Linked DNA regions of Mytilus edulis. The protein of the gene in region 1 purifies or fractionates together with the protein of each later gene. This does not show direct contact. Links are inferred from orthologs where the notes say so. Each region holds a gene or a part of one and is shown in the gene's direction. Other genes may lie near its edges. The genes, in order: stress-induced-phosphoprotein 1-like, ATP-citrate synthase-like and dnaJ homolog subfamily B member 6-like.

Region 1 (7,811 bases):
GTACTGCTAACTTCTTTTCGTTCTTCATAAGAACTGAAGTTCCTGTATTAAGTCAGTCTCACACGAATAAAGGAACAAGTCGGCAAGTTCCCATGCAAATGCAGATTGTTTGTTTTTAAAAAACAAACATGTCATACAAACGTAATGAATATATTGTCATTCAAATCAAGCATCTAGATGTCAGTTTCAGACAATTGTTTGTTTGAATCAAAGTGTTTTTTTTTCAAAGTATGATTTATCCCTCCCTAAGACAAAATACTTGTATTTACGTTGGTCATACTTTTTTATGAATAAAAGCAGAACCAATACTTTCAATTTGTCTTTTAGTTTGGAATGGGGAAAACTTGTGTAAAGTGCAGAAAAGACAAATGCACTAATTCTATTGCAAAATGAAAGAGTCTTGGTACCCGGCCACTTCCACTCTGTGTTTTTGATAGATGTATCTACACTTGTATCCTTCTAATGATTTAAGCCTTTTTCAACTCATTTTTATTATTCGTTTTTGTTTTATACTGTTACACCACTGTCCCAGGTTAGGGGAGGGTTAGGATCCCGGTAACAAGTTTAAAACATCCACATTGTGTTTGTAGGTGCCTGTCCGAGGTCAGGAGCCTGTAATTCAGGGGTTGCCAATTGTTGAACAGAAGAGAAAAAAATCTGAAAAAAACATGACTTCCTCGGTCTTTTCTCGCGTTAGAGTATTTCAATTCCAAATTCAATTCCATTATCAATTCATATCTTATTCCTATTCCTTTTCCTATACCCGACCATATTCCTATTCCAATTCATTTTCCTATTAATAATCCTATTCCTATTCCTATTCCTAATCCTGATCCTGATCCTGATCCTGATCCTGATCCTGATCCTGATCCTGATCCTGATCCTGATCCTGATCCTGATCCTGATCCTGATCCTGATCCTGATCCTGATCCTGATCCTGATCCTGATCCTGATCCTGATCCTGATCCCGTGATCCTAATCCTAATCCTAATCCTATTCCTAATCTTATTCCTCTTTTTATTCCAATTCCTATTCCAATTCCAATTCATATTCAAATTCATATTCAAATGCATATTCTTAATCCTATTCATATTCCTAATGCTATTCATATTCCTAATCCTATTCCTATTATTATTCCTATTCCTGATCAGGGGCGGATCCAGCCATTTTAAAAAAGGGGGTTCCCAACCCAGGGTAAAAAGGGGGGGGGGGGTGTCCAGCTATATGCTCCCATTCAAATACATCGGCCAAAAAAAAGGGGGGTTCCAACCCCCGGACCCCCCCCCCCCCCTCTGGATCCGCGCCTGCTGATCCTATTACAATTCGAATTCATTACCTATTCAAATTCATATTCCAATTCAATTTCCTATTCTATTCCTATTCGAATTCATTTACCTATTACTTATCCTTTTCCAATTCCTAATCATACCGTATAGCGGGTTATTTTCGCGGGTGTAAAAATTCGCGATTTTCATTGAAAAATGTATTCGAAATATTTTGACGGTTATTATTTTAGCGGACTCAAATTTTTGTTATCAATATCTTAGCCTGTGCACTTTTAAATTGGCGGAATTTATTTTGGTGATTTTGGTTCTTTCCGCGAAAATAAGCGAAAATTCACACCCGCGAAAATAACCCGCTATACGGTATTCCTATTTCAATTCGAATTCATATTCATATTCTTATTGCTATTGTTATTTCAATTTTATTCCAATTGCTATTGCTATTGCTATTGCTATTGCTATTGCTATTCCAATTCCTATCCTATTCCTATTCCTATTCCTTTTCCTATTCCAATTCCAATTCCTATTCCAATTTCAATTTATATTCATGTTACTTCTCATATTCCTATTCCTAATTCCTATTCCTAGTCCTATTCCTATTCCTATTCCTATTCATAATTCCTCTTCCTATTCCTAATCCTATTCCTATTCCTACTCCTAATTCCTAATTCCTAATTCCTAATTCCTATTCCTATTCCTAATTCCTATTCCTATTACCATTCCCATTCCCATTCCCATTCCCATTCCCATTCCTATTCCTATTCCAATTCCTATTCCTATTTCAATTTATATTGCTGTTACTTCTCATATTCATATTCCTAATCCTAATCATAGTCATATTTTAATTCCTATTCCTATTCCTATTGGTATTGACATTGTCATTTGCATTGTAATTGTCATTGACATTGACATCAACATTGACTTCGAATATTGTAATCAGTTGACATCTTATTTCTATTTCGTTTCCTATTCTAATTCCTATACCTATTCCAATTCACACTCCCATTCCCATTGCTATTGCTATTGCTATTGCTATTGCTATTCCTTATTCCTATTCCTTTTCCTATTCCTATTCCTATTCCTATTCCTATTCCTATTCCTATTCCTATTCCTATTCCTATTCCTATTCCTATTCCTATTCCTATTCCAATTCTTATTTCAATTATAATTCCAATTCCAATCCCAATCCCAATTGACATTGCATTGACATTGACATTGATTGGCATCAACAGTGACGTAGACAGTGACATTGGTATTGGTGTTTTATTGATATTGGTTTTATATTGTATTGTATTTGTATTTGTATTTGTATTAATTGTATTGGTATTATATTGGTATTGGTATTGTATTGGTATTATATTGATATTGGTATTGGTATTGGTATTGGTATTGTGTATTGTATTGTATTGTATTGTATTTTATTAAATGATATGAGCAAATAAGCCCTAATACGGATAAATCAGCATGTGCAATACTAAAAACGTTCCACTGTCGATATAAATCAAGAGTTAATATTGCTCTTCGAACAGGGCCAATACGGAAAAAAACAGGGCCAATACAGAAAAAAGCGGGAAAAAAGTCGTATTAGCCCTAGGGCTAATACAGGACGTTCACTTCCGGTTTTCAATTTTCTTACGCCATTACTTTACTCTTGAAGTATCGTTATGCATAAAAACATTTGTATAATATTTTTTAAATTAAAGTAATAAAATAAACAGGTTAAATGATGTGCAATGTTTTGTAATGTCTTAATGTTTTCAAACGGAAAAAACAGGGCAATTACAGAAAAAAGCGGGAAAAAAGCTGTATTGGCCCATGGGCTAATACGGGACGTTCACTTCCGGTTTTTAATTCTCTTATAATCATTTAATAAAGGCACTGGCTACGGTTACATGGAAATGTAACAATAATAAAAATATTATTGTTACATTGGAGACTAAATGCCGGAATGCATGGTTGGGTAAGGACCTGTTTAATTACGAATGTAACAATAATTATTGAGGCTACGGTTACATTGCGTTATTGTTACATGAAAAAAAGCAAAGTACGATGGGACTAGTAATATGTACTAAATAATAAAAGTTGAGGACATTTATTACATACATTTATAACATACAATTTATTTACTGTAATTTTTTATTTACAATGACAATTTCTACAAATCCAGTAAGTTGTTTTTAAAGTCCGACACATTTTTGATGACCGAAATTACGTCCTCCACGGATACGTGTACATACATAATTTCTTAGTATTTTTTTTAAGTTACAGTAAGCAAACTTTGCTTTTGATTATCAATTTGCGTCAAGTTATAAAGCTGTATGAAATGTATGTCCTGATATTGTTTCAGTTTCGTTTAAAACGCATCCTAACTTTTATTTTTTTCACCATAAACAAAATTGGTCCAAAGTATAATGACAGTAATAAGAGTAGGTGTGCAGTTAAATACTTCAAAAAAGTGAAACCATTGAACTATATTTTTCGCCTTTGACAGTCACACTCCTAATTTTGAGCAGTATCTTTAAGAACATCAAAACCATTAATATGTAGTAAAACTATTCAAGTTGTACACCATTTGTTGAAAAATAATATTTTATTGTTTATCAGTATTAAATTACTAGTATTGTTTAGTACATATGAAAGAATGAAGCAATACAACTATAGAAGATTTAAGTTTAATCAATCTAGCGTACATTGCTGTTTCATGTAACAATAACGTAATGTAACCGTAGCCTCAGTAATTATTGTTACATTTGTAATTAATCGGTTCCTCACCCAACTTTGCATTCCGGCAATTAGTCTCCAATGTAACAATAATATTTTTATTATTGTTACATTTCCATGTAACCGTAGCCAGTGCCTTTAATAAAAGTGTTATGAACTGGCTGTTTCTGTATTGGCACTGGTATAGATTCTCGGTCAGCTGTATTGGCCCTCGACCCTACGGGGTCGAGGGCCAATACAGCTGACCGAGAATCTATACCAGTGCCAATACAGAAACAGCCAGTTAATAACACTATAGTATTGTATTGTATTGTATTGTATTGTATTGTATTGTATTGTATTGTTTATTGTTCTATGATTTCATTAGGGAGCTACCATTTGATTTTTATTGGGGGGCTATGAAATTTGAAAAAAAATAGGCAGGACAGTAGTTTTGAGTAAAAAAAAAAGGCAGGATGAGACACTTGCAAAAAAAAAAAGTCAGGACGACAATTTAGGTAAAAAAAAGTCAGAATAAACTAAAAAAAAAAAGGCAGGACCGAACAGAGTGAAAAATAAAAAGGCAGGACAGAGATTACAGCTAAAAAAAAATGCAGGACAAAATTTTTCATCCTAGCCCCCCCATAAAAATCAAATGGTAGCTCCCTTAGTTCAAGAGGTGTATGTAATATGCGCATTTAAATGATCTATTTTAATTTTTTATGCGCATATCACAGATTAAAGCTGCAAGTCGTTTTTATTGACGAAAACTACCAAGGCGTTCCGGAATATCAAAGGGAGGTAAATATACTGGTCACTGTTCCTTCTTCTCGGTACGAAGAAATTTCTTTTTCAGGGAATCAGTCGACAAAAACTAATGGATAATGCTAAGTGAGTTCCGATAAGTACGAATGACTCTAGAAAATTCGGTTTCAATAATTGAGAAAACATAGGAAAACGCTGTAGCCTGTAGGAATATGTCATCCGAAAATCAGAAAAAGGTAAGATTAGGTTGAAGAGACAACCAGTTGTATGCCATGAGTATGGTTAACCACAACGAATTCTGTTGAATTTGTCTGCACGTGTTTTACACTAACTGGAAAACCGGCACCTAGCACACATATCAATGAAAAAAAAAGTAAATACAAACTTTTAACTGCAAGCTCACGTGGAAATGCCACCATGATTTAACATGATACCATGGAGTCGCACTTCATGTAAACCTATCAGTATCAGAGTAACCCAAATAGGTTTATAATATATATATATATTTCAAGTTGTTCCAGCTTAAAGTCGATCAGATTGTTATTAACCTTATTATAACTCATTTTGGTGAATGATACAAATCTGTTTATTACCTCCCTCAACTTGCAAAGAAATTTTTCTGTTTCCGCTGAGTGTCGCAGTGGTTCTCTCCTAGTTCTCGGCTTCCTCTACCATAATAACAGACTTCCCAATGTCCTAGCACTCCCTAAAAGTTGTATTGGAGTGGGGGTTGTCCTTGTAAATATTGTTGTGACACATATCAATTAATGCTGAAAGTGATAGGGAGTTTACATGGATTCTGAAAACGGAGGATTCTACCAGTACATAGTTATACACTTGATCACGATTTTTTTTGTAAACAACCTTCATTTGATAAGGACCACAGGCCTCGACAATAACGCTTGTCTGATTGTCTGGTACCAGAGGTAAAAAAGGTCGGACAGGTAAAAGCTATACCAAGCTTGTCCGATGGGACAAGTAGAATCATTCTGCAGAAAATAAATTTTAATCCAACTTTGATGAACAAAGTATAATTATTAACAAAAAAACAAGAAAAGAAGATTTGTTTGACATCTTTCCTTTTTAAACTGAAACTAATTGAAACTTTTTATTTCTTAGTCGAATAATAAAATTAGACCCCTCAGACTTGCAATCGATAATTTAAACTGGTTCTTTGTCAAGTACTTTTAACAGGTAAAAAGCACACTTTTCTCGGAAACCAGTCTTACAGATCCAATTCAACCATGGGCATTTTAGATAAGGTAACTTTAAAAGACAGTTCGTCAACAGCTCGGAAATGATTCGGCTCCAAGTTTAATAGACAGTTGGGCACTGTAGGAGACATATTTCATAAACATGATTAATAGACAGTTTGGCAAGGCAGTAGACATTTCTGGACCAAGACAAATCAGAACTTCTTTTCCTACCTTATTTTGTTGCTCTATAATAATTAATACCGATGTCCATAACGTATTTTTTAAATAAGAATGAGGAAATTATTTACCATAAAAATCATCAAATCATGTTTGATCTTTATGTAGAAAAAACAATACCAATGCAATGCAGTGACCTATAAGTGTTAATTTCTGTGTCATTTGGTCTTGTGTCAAATTGACAATCATGCCTCATATTCTTTTTATTGATTGCATTTGAATAAACTTTTTTCAACTTTTAAAAAAATGGATAAAAATCCAATGAGTGTACATTTAGAGGCCAATCAGATGGTGCCTCATGTGCAAAGTATGATGAGACTTTAGCATTGATAAAAACTAGAACCTAAGTCCTGTGACACAACTCAATTCAGTTGTTCATGGCTCATATCTTTTAAAAGTATTTCAAAGGATATAAATCAAATTCTGTTCAATTTTTTTGTAATTCATTTTGTTCCTTGAATCAACTTGAAATGCAAAAAAGGTTAATATTAAGATTTGTTTTGGACAAGTTACAAGTAAGTTTTGGAATGTACTTGTCCTACTGGACAAGTTGAAAAAAAAGTTATTGTAGAGGCCTGGACCATAAAGTCAAGTGTATAGTTATCTACTGAATAGTGTTGCAGATCCCCTCAATAGGTACTATACAAGCTAAATGTCTTTTTTTTTTTTTTCTTTCTTAAATCCATCTTTAAATTAAATCATAAAATGCATTGAAGATCATTCCAAGAAAAGTATATATGTGTTTTTAGCTCACCTGGCCTAAAAGGCCAAGTGAGCTTTTCTCATCACTTGGCGTCCGGCGTCCGGCGTCGTCGTTAACTTTTACAAAAATCTTCTCCTCTGAAACTACTGGCCCAAATTAAACCAAACTTGGCCACAATCATCATTGGGGTATCTAGTTTAAAAAATGTGTCCGGTGACCCGACCAACCATCCAAGATGGCCGCCATGGCTAAAAATAGAACATAGGGGTAAAATGCAGTTTTTGGCTTATAACTCAAAAACCAAAGTATTTAGAGCAAATCTGACATGGAATAGAATTGTTAAACAGGTGAAGATCTATCTGCCCTGAAATTTTCAGATGAATCGGATAACCCGTTGTTGGGTTGCTGCCCCTGAATTAGTAATTTTAAGGAAATTTTGTTGTTTTTGGTTATTATCTTGAATATTATTATAGATAGAGATAAACAGTAAACAGCAATAATGTTCAGCAAAGTAAGATTTACAAATAAGTCAACATGACTGAAATGGTCAGTTGACCCCTTTAGGAGTTATTGCCCTTTATAGTCAATTTTTAACTATTTTTCGTAAATCTTAGTAATATTTTACAAAAATCTTCTCCTCTGAAACTACTGGGCTAAATTAATCCAAACTTGGCCACAATCATCTTTTGGGTTAGTAGTTTGAAAAATGTGTCCAGTGACCCGGCCATCAAACCAAGATGGCCACCATGGCTAAAAATAGAACATGGGGTAAAATGCAGTTTTTGGCTTATAACTCAAAACCCAAAGCATTTGGAGCAAATCTGACATGGGGTAAAATTGTTTATCAGGTCAACATTTATCTGCTATGAAATTTTTAGATGAATCGGACAACCCGTTGTTGGGTTGCTGACCCTGAATTGTTAGTTT
Region 2 (7,226 bases), on another chromosome or scaffold:
TGGTGTGGTATTATCTGTCACAGATTGACCATTACCGTTGTTCGTGATGCCGATGCACTGCTTTCCATCTAAATCATTTGTATTATCAACTCATCGAAGCTTGAGGTTATCCGCGCCACATATTAAAGTGACAGTTGACGTTTAGAAAACATTGTTTTCTTGTGTATTATAGTATTCACTTATTGAGGTTTGAGTACTGAACTAGTTTTACCCCTCAACATGTGTATGTGTCTGTACCTTTTGGGGTTTTTTTTCGAGTTAAATTAAGCATTTCGTTTGTTTTTTCTATGTATTGTTTTAACGTTGCTACGGATATCACATGCTGTTATAACTGTTTAATTGTATAAATAATATAAACCTTTTATGTTTGTTTGTTTTGTTCATACTTTGTTCATATTCTGTCAATATAATGGAATGTTATGCGATAATCATACAAAGGAGAGGTTTAGCTACATGTAGCTATAAAACCATGTTTAATCCACTATTTTCTACATAAGAAAATGCTTTTACCAAATCAGGAATATGACAGTTGTTTTCAATTCATTTGATGTGTTTGAGCTTTTGGTTATGCCATTTGATATGGAACTTGTAGTTTTGAGTTTTACTCAGTATTTTTGTTATTTTACTATATTCAACTTTTGGTATCCATCAGCCAATCAAAACTAGGAAATCGTATGAAATTAATTGTAAGTGAACAACAAACTTTCTTATTGGAAAGTGTAACGATTTGTTATGTCGAATGATGGTATTGTTCTAACAGGGTATCTATTGGCTCTGTCGATTGATTGTATTATCCTGGCAGAACATCGATTGGTTATGTTGATTGATTGTATTATCCTGGCAGTGCATCGATTGGTTGTGTTGATTGATTGTATTATCCTGGCAGTGCATCGATTGGTTATGTAAATTTGTTGTAAAGTCCTGGTAGTGCATTGATTGACTTGGTCGATTGGTTGTATTGTCCTGACATTGCATCAATTAACTCTGTCGATTGTTTGTATTGCCCTGGCAGCTCATCCATTGGTTATGTTGATTGGTTGTATTGGCCTGGCAGTGGAACGATTTGTTATGTCAATTGGATGTATTGTTCTGGCAGTACATCGATTGACTCTGTCGATTGGTTGTATTGTTCTAACAGGATATCTATTGGCTCTGTCGATTGGTTGTATTGTCTTGGCAGTGCATCGATTGGTTGTTATGTCCTGGCAGTACATCGATTGGCTCTGTCCATTGGTTGTATTGTCTTGGCAGTTTCATCGATTGGCTCTGTCCATTGGTTGTATTGTCTTGGCAGTGCCTCGATTAGCTCTGTTGATTGGTTTGATTGTTTTGGCAGTGCCTCGATTGGCTATGTCGATTGGTTGTATTATCCTGGCAGTGCATCGATTGGCTTTGTCGATTGGTTGTATTGTTTTGACAGTACATCGTTTACACTGTCGATTGGTGGCATTGTCTTGGCTGTGCATCGATAAGCTCTATCGATTAGTTGTTATGTCCTGGCAGGGCATTGATTTACTCTGTCGATTGGTTGTATCGTCCTGGCAATGGGATTGGTTGTATTTTCCTGGCAGTGTATTGATTGGTTGTATTATCCTTTCATTACATCGTGTTTGTACGATTTTTTTGTTCTGGCAGTTTTGAATTGCTCTGTCAATTGGTTATATTGTTCTGGTAGTGTACTATTGGCTCTGTCGATTGGTTGTATTGTCCTGGCTCTATCTATTGGTTGTATTGTCCTAGCTCTGTAGATTGGTTTTATTGTCCTGTCAGTGCCTTAATTGGCTCTGTCGATTGGTTGTATTATCCTGACGGGCATTAATTGGCTCTGTCGATTGGTTTAATTGTCCTGTCAGTTTATTGATTGGCTCTGTCAATTGGGTGTATTGGTCTGGCAGTACATCGATTAGCTCTGTCGATTGGTTGTATTGTCCTGGAAGCTCATCGACTGGTTATGTCGATTGGTTGTATTGGCCTGGCAGTGCAACGATTTGTTATGTCGATTGGTTGTATTGTTCTGGCAGAACATCGATTGACTCTGTCGATTGACTCTGTCGATTGGTTGTATTGTCTTGGCAGTGCATCAATTTGCTCTGTCGATTGGTTGTATTGTCTTGGTAGTGCATTGATTGGTTATGTTGATTGGTTGTATTGGCCTGGCAGTGCAACGATTTGTTATGTCGATTGGTTGTATTGTTCTGGCAGAACATCGATTGACCCTGTCGATTGACTCTGTCGATTGGTTGTATTGTCTTGGCAGTGCATCGATTTGCTCTGTCAGGGACGTAGCTAGAACGAAAAAATTTTGGGACCCTTTTATGCAGATTTTTTTTTTTTTTCGGTTTTCGGTCATAGGACGGTTAAAAGAGGAGCTACATGTAGAAAGGACTTATAAACAATTTATGAATGAAAACTATTAATTAATCTTCTGAATAGAATAAATCATGGTAAATTGAATACATAAACAACACATTTTTGTGATACCGAAATTACTCAAAATTGTCCAAAATCTGCTCTTCGGGTCTAGGCAGAAACGAACTTCTCTATTACTTTGTCAATATAAACACTGAATTCCCGATGAATATGCAGTAATGCTAGCGATGATAACCTGTCGTTGTTCATTGTTGATCGTACATTTGTTTTCAACAGACGTAGTACCTTGATATATCTCCACGGTAGCACTCGCGAGGTGTTATAAATCAGCGTACGTATTCGCCATCGAGCGACCTCCCAATTGAATTCGTCAAAATTACATGCCAGGTCAGTTTCGTATGTCTCAGACAAAGTTGAGATATCTTCGTTTGTTATATTTCCAACAACACAAGGAAGCAGATACGGCGCAAAGAAGCGATTTTCTAATAATACCAGACGCGACTCCACTCTCCAGTTTCATTATCATATGGTCTATGAACGCAAAATATAATGAGACTTTCCAATACTGTTTGGGCGTGTTTGCAGGGTGATTGGGTCTTGTTGTCTGTCGAACACATCGCCTCGGGATCTGATAAATCTAATGCAGATTGGTACATCTCATTCCAAACAGATAAACCGTACTCAGTAAAATGTGCTCCGAAACTACATGTCTTAGACTGAGTATAACAAATTCAAATCTTGATTTTGTCATGATCTCCAATAAAACTTTTATTTTGAAACCAAATGCCGTTATTTAATGACATTTCATTAATTAAAAAAAAGTGACAACATATGTGTTTTCTTTAAACATTTAATTTATATTTTTATTTCGCTATATTTTTTTTTGCATGCCGAATCGATGTGCACGCAACTGCGTGTTGGCGTATAGGCAGCTACGCGCCTGTCTGTCGATTGGTTGTATTGTCTTGGCAGTGCATCGATTGGTTATGTTGATTGGTTGTATTGGCCTGGCAGTGCAACGATTTGTTATGTCGATTGATTGTATTGTTCTGGCATCTCATCGATTGGTTAGGTCAATTGGTTGTATTGGCCTCGCAGTGCATCGATTTGTTAGGTCGATTGGTTGTTATGTTCTGGCTGAGTATCGATTGGCTCTGTCGATTGGTTGTTTTGTCCTGGCAGTGCATGGATTGTCTCTGTCGATTGTTTAATTGTTATGTCCTGGCAGTACATCGATTGGTTATGTTGAATGATTGTATTATCCTGGCAGTTTCATCAATTGGTTATCATGGTTATGTCGATTGTTTGTATTATCCTGACAGTGCATCGATTGGCTCTGTCGATTGGTTGTTTTGTCCTGGCAGCTAATCGATTATCTCTGTCGATTGATTGTATTGTTCTGACAGTACATCGATTGAATCTGTCGATTGGTGGCATTGTCTTGGCAGTGCATCGATTGGTTGGATTGTTTTGGCAGTGCCTTTTGTTGACTTTGTCGATTGATGGCATTGTCTTGGCAGTGCATCGATTGGCTCTGTCGATTGGTTGTATTATCCTGGCACTGCATCGATTGGTTATTTCGATTGTTTGGATTTTTTGGCAGTGCCTCGATTGGCTCTGTCGATTGGTTGTATTATTCTGGCAGTGCATCGATAAGCTCTGTCGATTGGTTGCATTGTCCTGGCACTACATTGATGGGCTCTGTCGATTGATTTTATCGTCCTGGCAATGTGATTGGTTGTATTTTCCTGTCAGTGCATCGATTGGTTGTATTGTCCTTGTATCAAGTTTGTTTGTTTAAGGTCGAGTTTGTTTTAGGCCGAGTTGTCCAACAGCGTAAGAAAATCACTTCCGCTTTTCTACGAAGGTAATGTCAAATGTGATCAAATGTGTTAATTTTATTTGACTTGTGTGGGATAATTGTCCTTTGACAGTTGGTACCAGAACGTTTTAAAGTATTTTATAGGTATATAATACATGAAATTGTTATGTTTAGTTTCTAACAGTCAATAAAACCCCTCTAATTTGGACAAATTGCACTTCCGGCGCGTTGTTGGCGACGCACGAATGCCGGGTGGTGTGATATCGTATGATTATACCTGATTTGCAGTTTCATATATCTATATATATTTGGAGTAAGTTTTTCACTTAAAAGATATTCAAGTCGCACAGGTGAGGCATTGTTATTTCAACTTTAATTTTAAATGCAGCATGCATTATTTTTTTTTACTGTAAAATCACAATACACCTTATCGCTAATCCCGGTAGTACAAATAATTATGACGTCTTGAAAGGCTATTATAATTTTTTTCTTTGACTCGATGTAAGGCGTCAAAGAAACAAATTACAATAGCCTTTCAAGACGTCATAATTATTTGGACTATAATCCCGGCTGACCCGGCCGCTTGAACTTTTGACGTCAACAACAATCACTTTTCCATTGTGGCGTCAGATATTTTGTTTTATGACGTCAAAATTTTACGGGAACCTGTGTGATTTCCAGCAATGGCGGACAAATAGCGATAAGGTGTATTAAGGTACAAGCACTTGTCTCAAGATTTTATATTACTATCGTCGTGTCATATAAAATTGAGAAAGGAAATGGGGAATGTGTCAGAGCGACAACAACCCGACCATAGAGCAGACAACAGCCGAAGGCCACCAATCGGTCTTCAAGGCAATGTAGCGAGAAACTCCCGCACCCGTAGGTGTCCTTCAGCTGTTTTCGTATGTGATATGTTTTCACATGATCAGGCTGATCCACATTTCAAGTCTAAAGTGGAAAGGATATTCTATTTGGAAAGTACTGAAAGTAGACATATCCTTTAAATCATGAACAGCTTACAATCATTGACAATAGAAAAACAAGAAGTATTTGACATAACAAAAAATTGACTAATGAATGAAATGCAGCAAATTTGATTTAAAACTACAATTTAAAACAAATACCTTATATTAGTTTTTTTTCCTGTCGAATTTGTTTTGAATTTTTTGCCTCCATGAATACAGGAAAAATTTATTAATATATATGTTAAATCTTAAATCCCCCTTTAATTTTTGTGTTTCCATTTCTTCTTTTCTCCTCTGAGTTTCTTTTATACAATTTATAAAATTAATCAACTCATCATGATCATGCTCATAGTTTGGAACAATTTGTTTCAATTTATGATAACTTTGAGTGAATGTCTTCCCCACATGTATCATATCACGCTCCTCCGATTTAAGAATATTTTTTAATTGAGAAAAACTGTTCACTTAGGCAGCAACCATTTGATTTTCTGGGGGGGGGGGGGGCTCTATTGATTTTTTGGGAAAAAAAAGTTTGGTTTCAAGTTTTTGGAGAAAAAAATAATTTGTTTTGTGATTCTGAGAAAAAAAAATTGTTTGTTTCCCCCTCAGCTGCCACTATAAAATTGAAAGAAAAAAATTGTTTTGCGACTTGTCCAGAAAAAAAATCCATAGCCGCCCCCAGAAAATCAAATGGTTGCTGCCTTACCTATATATTTATTTATAAATATTTATAAAACTTATCATGCTTATGAGTAGTTTTAATCAATTTATTCACTAATTGCGACAAATTTCCTACATATTTCACGTTTCCTTCCTCGATCCCGTGCCATTTTATTGTAAAACCAGATGTGGGTATGCGTAGCCTACGAACGGCAATATGACTATTCGTACCCGGGTACACGCAGACACTGTCTTTTATAAAACTGACCTACATGTATTTGTCATTTTTGTCGAGCCTTCGACTTTAGTCGAAAAAGCGAGACTAAGCGATCCTACATTCCGTCGTCGTCGGCGTCGTCGGCGGCGTCAACAAATATTCACTCTGTGGTTAAAGTTTTTGAAATTTTAATAACTTTCTTAAACTATACTGGATTTCTACCAAACTTTGACAGAAGCTTGTTTATGATCATAAGATAGTATCCAGAAGTAAATTTTGTAAAAATAAAATTCCATTTTTTCCGTATTTTACTATAAATGGACTTAGTTTTTTCTGCGGGGAAACAAAACATTCACTCTGTGGTTAAAGTTTTTAGAATTTTAATAACTTTCTCAAACTATCCTGGGTTTGTACCAAACTTGGACAGAAGCTTGTTTATGATCATAAGATAATATCCAGAAGTAAATTTTGTAAAAATAAAATTCCATTTTTTCCGTATTTTACTTATAAATGGACTTAGTTTTTTCTGCGGGGAAACATTACATTCACTCTGTGGTTAAAGTTTTTAGAATTTTAATAACTTTCTTTAACTATCCTGGGTTTGTACCAAACTTGGACAGAAGCTTGTTTATGATCATAAGATAGTATCCAGAAGAAAATTTTGTAAAAATAAAATTCAATTTTTTCCGTATTTTACTTATAAATGGACTTAGTTTTTTCTGCAGGGAACCATTACATTCACTCTGTGGTTAAAGTTTTTAAAATTTAAATAACTTTCTTAAACTATCCTGGGTTTGTACCAAACTTGGAAATAACCTTATTTATGATCATAAGATTGTATCCAGAAGTAAAGTTTGTAAAAAGATTACTCTGTTTTTTTCTGTAATTTACTTTCAAATGGACTTAGATTTTCTTACAATCATAAAATAGTAACAAGAGGAATATTTTGATTGATTTTTTTCCTCATTGTTGTTGAGCCTGTGATTTACAGCAAAAATAGGCGAGACACTGGGTTCCGCGGAACCCTTACAAATTTTTATTTAATGTCAAAAATATCCATCACTAGAATAGGTGTTGAAAAAATTTCTGAAGGGTTAAAATAAAGTCCAGGTATGTTTTTAGACCGTTAGACACCGGATCTTCAAGACATGTGACTGTCATACTTTTTTTGGCCGTTTTAATTACAAAC
Region 3 (6,973 bases), on another chromosome or scaffold:
AACACGAACCCCACCAAAAACTAAGCATGATCTCAGGTGCTCTGGAAGGGTAAGCAGATCCTGCTCCACATGTGGCACCCGTCGTGTTGCTTATGTGATAACAAATCCGGTAAATAGTCTAATTCGGTAGGTCACATTCATGAAAGGGAAGATGATTGTAGTTACTTTGTAAGGAACATAATTATCCGATATCATTTGTGAAACGGTTATTCAATAACAGTCAACCAACTCGTCATCACGTCCATAAAATTATTGAAGGAATGATTTAAACTTCACCATTTGGAACTCTTGGTTTAATAGCATACGTGTGAGCAGCAACTCTCTATCAAGAAAATCATGATAGGAAATGCAAGCACAGGAATATCGTATCAATTGGGAGATGGGAGATATATACCCCATATGCAAAAACGCTGTTTTTTTGGGCTTGTAAATGAGAACTGTTCTGAAGATAATAGACAAGGGAAATTTTCATTGTCCATGAAATTACACTAAAATGATGAGTAAAGACATGATGGTCACATCTGAAAAGGACAGTCAATTAAAAATTCTATTTGCACATAGAAGTCCTGAGAAATTCAATGAGAAGAAGACAGCCGGAGATACATTTTGTACATGTATGTACATAACATCCCAATAGGTCTCCAGTCACAAACTTTTAGCACCAACAAAGAAAGAGACATACGAGATAACAATGAATATGATAGGAGAATATTTAAAGATTTCAGGGGGATTCCAGGAAACACTAAGCCTTGAAGAATTCCGATACAGTGCCTAAACAATTTAACTAAATTAAACAATGTGACATTACCCAGAGAAACTACAAGTAAGCACAAAGAGACCAGATGTGTCAAAGCTAAATATTGACCGTAGGATCAGGATCACCAGCCTCACTGTGACTGCCACTAGTCAGTTTGCCAACCCTTGATGGGTTTAAACAGGCACTGGCTATCTTCACCATTTTCATAAATTGTAGTTATTGGATTATTAACTGTAAATACTTGGTTTTTTTAACTGTATATCATTATATAGAGGTGACTGTATGGCATGTATGTGTCAGTGTGAATATACTCAAAATGAGTCCTACACTTAATCAGAAGAAACAATTCAACTAATTTATACCCAAAATATAACATATATATGTCGATCATTTAATTGTTACATAAAAACAGCTTCTCATACTGTTATTTTCAAAAACAGGACGTTTCGACTTACCCGAACATCCGCAACCTCAATCGTAACAGCAAAAACAAAATTAAAGTACATGGAGGAAAATACATGGAGGAAGATACACATAGGGCGTAATATGCACCAATGAGAAGAGTTGTGCCATAAGGCCATAAGATTGAGATTTGAGGATCATACATATACAGACTCGTTCTCTTTGTCAGGTAACATTTTTGTCAAAAATTCTAGGCTACAGAAAATTAAACGAACAGAGAAAAAATGTTCCTGTTGAGGCTGTACATACTAAGTCTTTAGTCTTTAGAAGTGTCAACTTGACACTATAATCTCTATCTGTAATTTCGATCACTCTGGTAATTTTATGGCTCTATTGTATTAAAATCATTAGTACATTTGTATTTATGATGTGGCACTACAGAGAAACTAAATAAACTAGTATCTCAATTGTTTGTAAAACAATTGAAAGGTCTTTCCTGTAAAAGTAATGTTTTCTTAATGTTCTTTGTACGACCTTTCGTTTGATATACGACAAGCATACCTTCTGAAACTTTTCGCTTTTTACACTTAATGACCTCATCAGCCTACATTTTTGAGATCGGAAGTATGATATATGTAACACAGGGTAGATGAGATTTCGTTTGATATGCGACAACGCCATGTTCTAAAAAGTTTGATTTTTACACTTAATAACCCTACCCAACTAATTTTTGGAGGTTGGGAATTTGATATTTCAAATGTACACATCATGACCTTTCATTTGATATACAACAACCTTACCGTAAAAGAAGATTTATTTTTTGCACTCAATGACCCCATCCAACCCATTTTTGGGAGACGTCAATTTGAAATTTGAAATGTACGCTTTATATTCTTTCATTTGATATGCGACAACCTTACCATCTGAGAAATTTGAATGTTTGCACTAAATGACCCCACCCGTCCCCCTGGGATGAAAAAGGGGTTTAAAATTTTCATTTTTAAGTAGAGTTTATTAAGACCTTCAATATGATATATCAGATGACCCCATATGACAAAGTGCAAATAATGATGTAATATCAACTATATAAATAGAAGTTATGAAACTTACAAAGTCAATGCAAAGCTTGAAATTTTCAAATTGATTTTTTGGTGTTTTTTTTCCATGGAATATTTTTCGTATTTGGTCAAACATATAACTATGTCAACCTCTTCAATTTCTAAAACATTTTAAGTGCTAAGCTCTGGTTGATTCAGAAATACATGCCTCCGCTCGCAAAACTTCAAACTGCATTATCTCAAAAACGACAATAGATATCTCAAATCTGTTAAATGATAAATGATCTACAGTTGAAGGACAACATTATAGGAAAAGAATTGAAACAATTTGAAAGTTCAACAAGGTCACAATTAATCATCAAATATATGATGCAAAACCAAACTTGAGAACCGGAAGTCGTAGAGACATGGGACTATCACCATTCAACTCAAGACCACTTGACCTTTCAAATATCACAAGGTCAAGGTCATAGTATAATATGAAGGTCAAGGTGAAATTTCATCATGACCTGACATTGACCTCAAATTGAAGGCCTTGAATTACTGATCATCTTTGCTGTTGATAGTAGGTTGATATCTGTTACCTTTAAAAAGATATACACACAATACTATACTTGTAAGACTCATCCCGTTGTAACTTTTGAACAGACGGTCGGACATTTTTGGGCTTATTGTATAAAATGTAGAACTCGTTGTGAAGAACATTTTATACGCTATATGTATGCAGTAAAGTCTTATCGTTTTTCTAATATGTAAGCTTGAGATTGCAGCGTAATTTTTTTTTTGCACTCGGTGACCTTTGACCTTGGATGCATATTAAAGGTCATATGAATTTAAGATTATTGGTGAAGGTTCCAAGTCTCTATGACTTTCGGTTCTCAAAATAGAATTTTTGAAAAATTATTTTTAAATTTTAAAGGGAAATAACTCCTTATAAGGGATGGCAACAAATTAATTGTTTATGTTTATAAACATTTCCATCTGTTCTTATACATGCTGTCATTTTCAATTCAATTCTATCTCTAATACTTTTTGAGAAAAATGCAAATAAAAGAAATTGTTTCAAGGGGATATAACTCTCAAAGGGGATGATGAAATCTTATGCAGCCTCATATGGTAATACATCATGATGAGATCTACCTATTGACCAATTAAAGTTATGATACCTTTTAACTAATTTTGGGGGGACCATGTTGAAAAAAATCAATAAATGGGAGATTACTCCTCAAGGGGAGGGTGAAATCCTACAAAAGTTCATCTGGTAAAAGTTCATGTTGAGGTCTATCGATGGTTCAATTTTGGTATTGATAACTCCAATAGAAGCGGTAGGAGGGCCTGCCAAAAATACAAATCCTTGTTCAAAGGATTCAAAATCAGCTTTGTGATCTTAAGCCATAAAACGTTAAAACAAATATGTGTATATTAAATACCTCTTTCTTTTCTTCGGACATGTTTTATTCCTGTGCCGATGAGCAGCAAAACTTCTGCTAAATTATGTTTCAACAAAATTTGTTTCTCATGGGGGCTGCCATTTTAAAAATTACTCTTTAAACATTTGATTTTTTTATGTTCAGCATTTCTGATTTAAGTTCTTTGTATTTGAATTATACTTAATATTAAATAAAATTTAATTGATACATAATTTCTATCATTAATTATCAATGTTTAACCTTTCAATTCATATATACTCTCTAAATATAGTCAAAATCATTCATGCGTTTTATACGGAATACACTTTACAGAGACGGATAAGCTTCTTGTTTGGAAATAATATTGGCCTACTTTCTGTTCTATTCTTTTCTATTCTGTTCCAAAAGAACAAAACAAAGATTGGTAAGTTGATTAGTATTGAGTAGAATTAACTAGAGAAAAAGGCAAGCATGTATATTTATCGAAAGCTATGAACGAAAAAAAATGAAATAGAAAAGATGTTTTTTTGCACAGAATTTCAGAAATTATAAATGATTATAGACAGACTAAAGAATCTTATTTGTATATAGTGGCTATAGTATTTTTACCTGATAAATATTGAATATTGTACAATGTATTCTTTATGATGTACATGTATATGAGACAAAATTATAGTTACCTGTACCATTATAAACTTGTACCAATGTCAACTCATACCACTAAAAAAAACTTGTACTAATGCAAACTTGTACCACTGCTAACTTGTACCACTGTAAATTCATACCATTGTAAACTTGTACCAACTTATATAATTATTGAAATGCATTGAACATTTTGAAATGGTGTTTAATGATGAATATACAGTGGAGTAGTCCCCGGTGTCTGCGCGGCCCGTGATATCGCGCATTAGCTTATTTTGTCATATCAACACAGTATCACAAACACAATCGTTCTTGTTATTGTTTTAGCCATCTGAAGGGATAAAAAAGAATAAAATTGATAAGTTCAAGAGTTAATTAATAACTGCAATCCCGTAATTTGCCATATTTGGCCAATTTCCGTTAAAAAAAAATACATCATCAGATAAAATTTGTTTTATTTAAGTCAAACTTATATCAGATTGAAATGATTTTTGCTCTGCATCCTTGGCAGTGTTTTTGGTTCAAACTCAGCTATATTTCGTAGTATAAAATCTTTTCTTTTTTTAAAATAAGCTATTTTTGGAAGGCATGCGCGAAATCACCGGACATTGGAGGAACTCTCAGAACAGGGTTTCCCTAATTTTGGACACATATTACACAAAATCTTGAGGGTGAAACCATACAAACAGAAGATTTTATGAAATAAAAGTATGTTATGAATGTGTTCACATAATATTATTCATTTATTGGTTTTATCAGTTGAATGAAGTGAAGTCATAAGTCTTAGGTGAGCGGATACACCGGACTGCACCGTATACTTTAATTTCACTCAATACCTCTTAAGTCTGTAAAATGTATAATATGAGGCAGGCATTACCTGTGAAAGGGAACGAAGTCTATGATTTTATTTTAATTCAAACATATCTTAATTTCGAAACGGAAATACCGTAATGTTTCCGATTTTGGTTCTCTTGTTAGGGATTTTAGTTGTGCCGTTATTTAAGTTATGACGTCATATGCAATTTTAACAAAGAAACGCTATCATTAGGTAACGTTTTTTCATATCAAGGAATTATTAAAAAAATGAAATTGATATTGCGTTCCTTCCTATTTTATACTAAACTGATAAATATATATATTTTACTCAAAATTTCATGCAAACAAGACCGGAAAAAGGAAGAACATTGTAGATTTCTGCGCAGATGCAGGAATTCAAAACATGACATAAAAAAAATTGAACTATTTTGAGTTCATTAGTACAATGAAAATATCGGGAAAATTTTTCCGTTTTTTTTTTTTATTGAATTTTCTACTGTTATTGGGGACTTTGTCCCCATATAATTTGAAATTACGTTGACCCATGTGTAGCTTATTTTCCATGTCTAACTAATTCCCATAATTGACCCTGTTATTATAGATCGCTTTTTTTAGTTGTCTCTTTTATGAGGTACATTAATTTGTATTTACAATGGAGAGCTACAATGTAGCAGAAAGAGCAAATTAACCTGATCGTAAATTCGTAATGTGAGTAATCGTTCACACAATGACAAGATCAAGTTAGAATTTGTTCCGTTACAATGATTTTTGTCGAGCCTTCGACTTTAGAAGAAAAAGCGAGACAGCGATCCTACATTCCATCGGTGTCATCGACGGCGTCCACAAATATTCACTCTGTGGTTAAAGTTTTTGAAATTTTAATAACTTTCTTGAAATATCCTACATTGTAGATTTCTACCAAACTTGGACAGAAGCTTGTTTATGTTCATAAGATAGTATCCAGGAGTAAATTTTGTAAAAATAAAATTCCATTTTTTCCATATTTTACATTTTTTTACTTATAAATGGACTTAGTTTTTCTGCTCGGAACCATTACATGTACATGCAATCTGTGGTTAAAGTTTTTAAAATTTTAATAACTTTCTTAAACTATCCTGGAATTGTACGAAACTTGGCCAGAAGCTTGTTTTTCTTCTAGTTAACATTACATACAGTCTGCAGTTAAAGTTGTTAAAACATTTTTAAGTTTCTTAAACTAGCCTGGAATTTTACCGAACTTGAACAGAAGCTTCTGACAATCAAAAGATAGTATCGAGAGGAATAATTTTGTTGATTTTTTTCTTCATTTTTGTTGAGTGTGTGATTAACAGCAAAAGTAGACAGGACAATGGGTTCCGCGGAACCCTTATAAATTTTTTAACCAGATTGGGACTATTTAATACCATGCAATACTCACAATATGCTTGTTTTTGGGGGAAAGACGGCTTCAAGCCGTCAATCCCATATGGGGTTGACCAGAGTGACATTCCCTCACATCATTCATTTTGTTTTTATAGTGTGATTACCCCCAAAAAATCTTACTGAGCTTGATGAGAAGGAAACACACAAATGAAAAGATTGACTTTAAATACTTTTCTACATATTTCCCTTCTGTTTCTAGCGAAATTATCGTATTTTGAGCTCTCTTTTACACTATTTACGTTTCTTTTACAATCCGGAAAAATCAGTGACGAGATATTCTAAATATATCCAACCTACATTATATTTTATAATGACGTCATTGTTGGAATGCCACACTATGAAGAAGCAGGGATATTCTTCACTGGTTATTTAAATCATTCTCAGAGTTCGTGCACTAATTGTAAATTATTTGTTAAATTTAAACATAATTATGTTTGCTGTAGATGATTCAAACATCAACATGCAAT

Evidence for each region.
Region 2: the proteins of stress-induced-phosphoprotein 1-like (region 1) and ATP-citrate synthase-like fractionate together in Homo sapiens (co-fractionation; 3 studies listed by BioGRID, with this or other methods). This does not show direct contact. The link is inferred for Mytilus edulis from reciprocal best matches to the Homo sapiens genes STIP1 and ACLY.
Region 3: the proteins of stress-induced-phosphoprotein 1-like (region 1) and dnaJ homolog subfamily B member 6-like purify together in Homo sapiens (affinity purification with mass spectrometry; 3 studies listed by BioGRID and IntAct, with this or other methods). This does not show direct contact. The link is inferred for Mytilus edulis from reciprocal best matches to the Homo sapiens genes STIP1 and DNAJB6.

Annotation. Positions count from the first base shown.
Region 1 is NC_092346.1:83,738,348-83,746,158, reverse strand, and holds the start of stress-induced-phosphoprotein 1-like, read left to right. Parts: upstream 1-4,705; 5' UTR 4,706-4,960; coding exon 4,961-4,984; intron 4,985-7,811. Other genes in the region: putative per-hexamer repeat protein 5, read right to left, coding at 786-1,029, 2,268-2,533. UniProt on the Homo sapiens protein: Acts as a co-chaperone for HSP90AA1. Mediates the association of the molecular chaperones HSPA8/HSC70 and HSP90.
Region 2 is NC_092345.1:105,917,968-105,925,193, forward strand, and holds the start of ATP-citrate synthase-like, read left to right. Parts: upstream 1-4,165; 5' UTR 4,166-4,237; exon of another isoform or gene 4,238-4,542; intron 4,543-7,226. UniProt on the Homo sapiens protein: Catalyzes the cleavage of citrate into oxaloacetate and acetyl-CoA, the latter serving as common substrate in multiple biochemical reactions in protein, carbohydrate and lipid metabolism.
Region 3 is NC_092345.1:102,191,101-102,198,073, reverse strand, and holds the start of dnaJ homolog subfamily B member 6-like, read left to right. Parts: upstream 1-3,926; 5' UTR 3,927-4,050; intron 4,051-6,973. Other genes in the region: polyribonucleotide 5'-hydroxyl-kinase Clp1-like, read right to left, coding at 3,648-3,668. UniProt on the Homo sapiens protein: Has a stimulatory effect on the ATPase activity of HSP70 in a dose-dependent and time-dependent manner and hence acts as a co-chaperone of HSP70. Plays an indispensable role in the organization of KRT8/KRT18 filaments.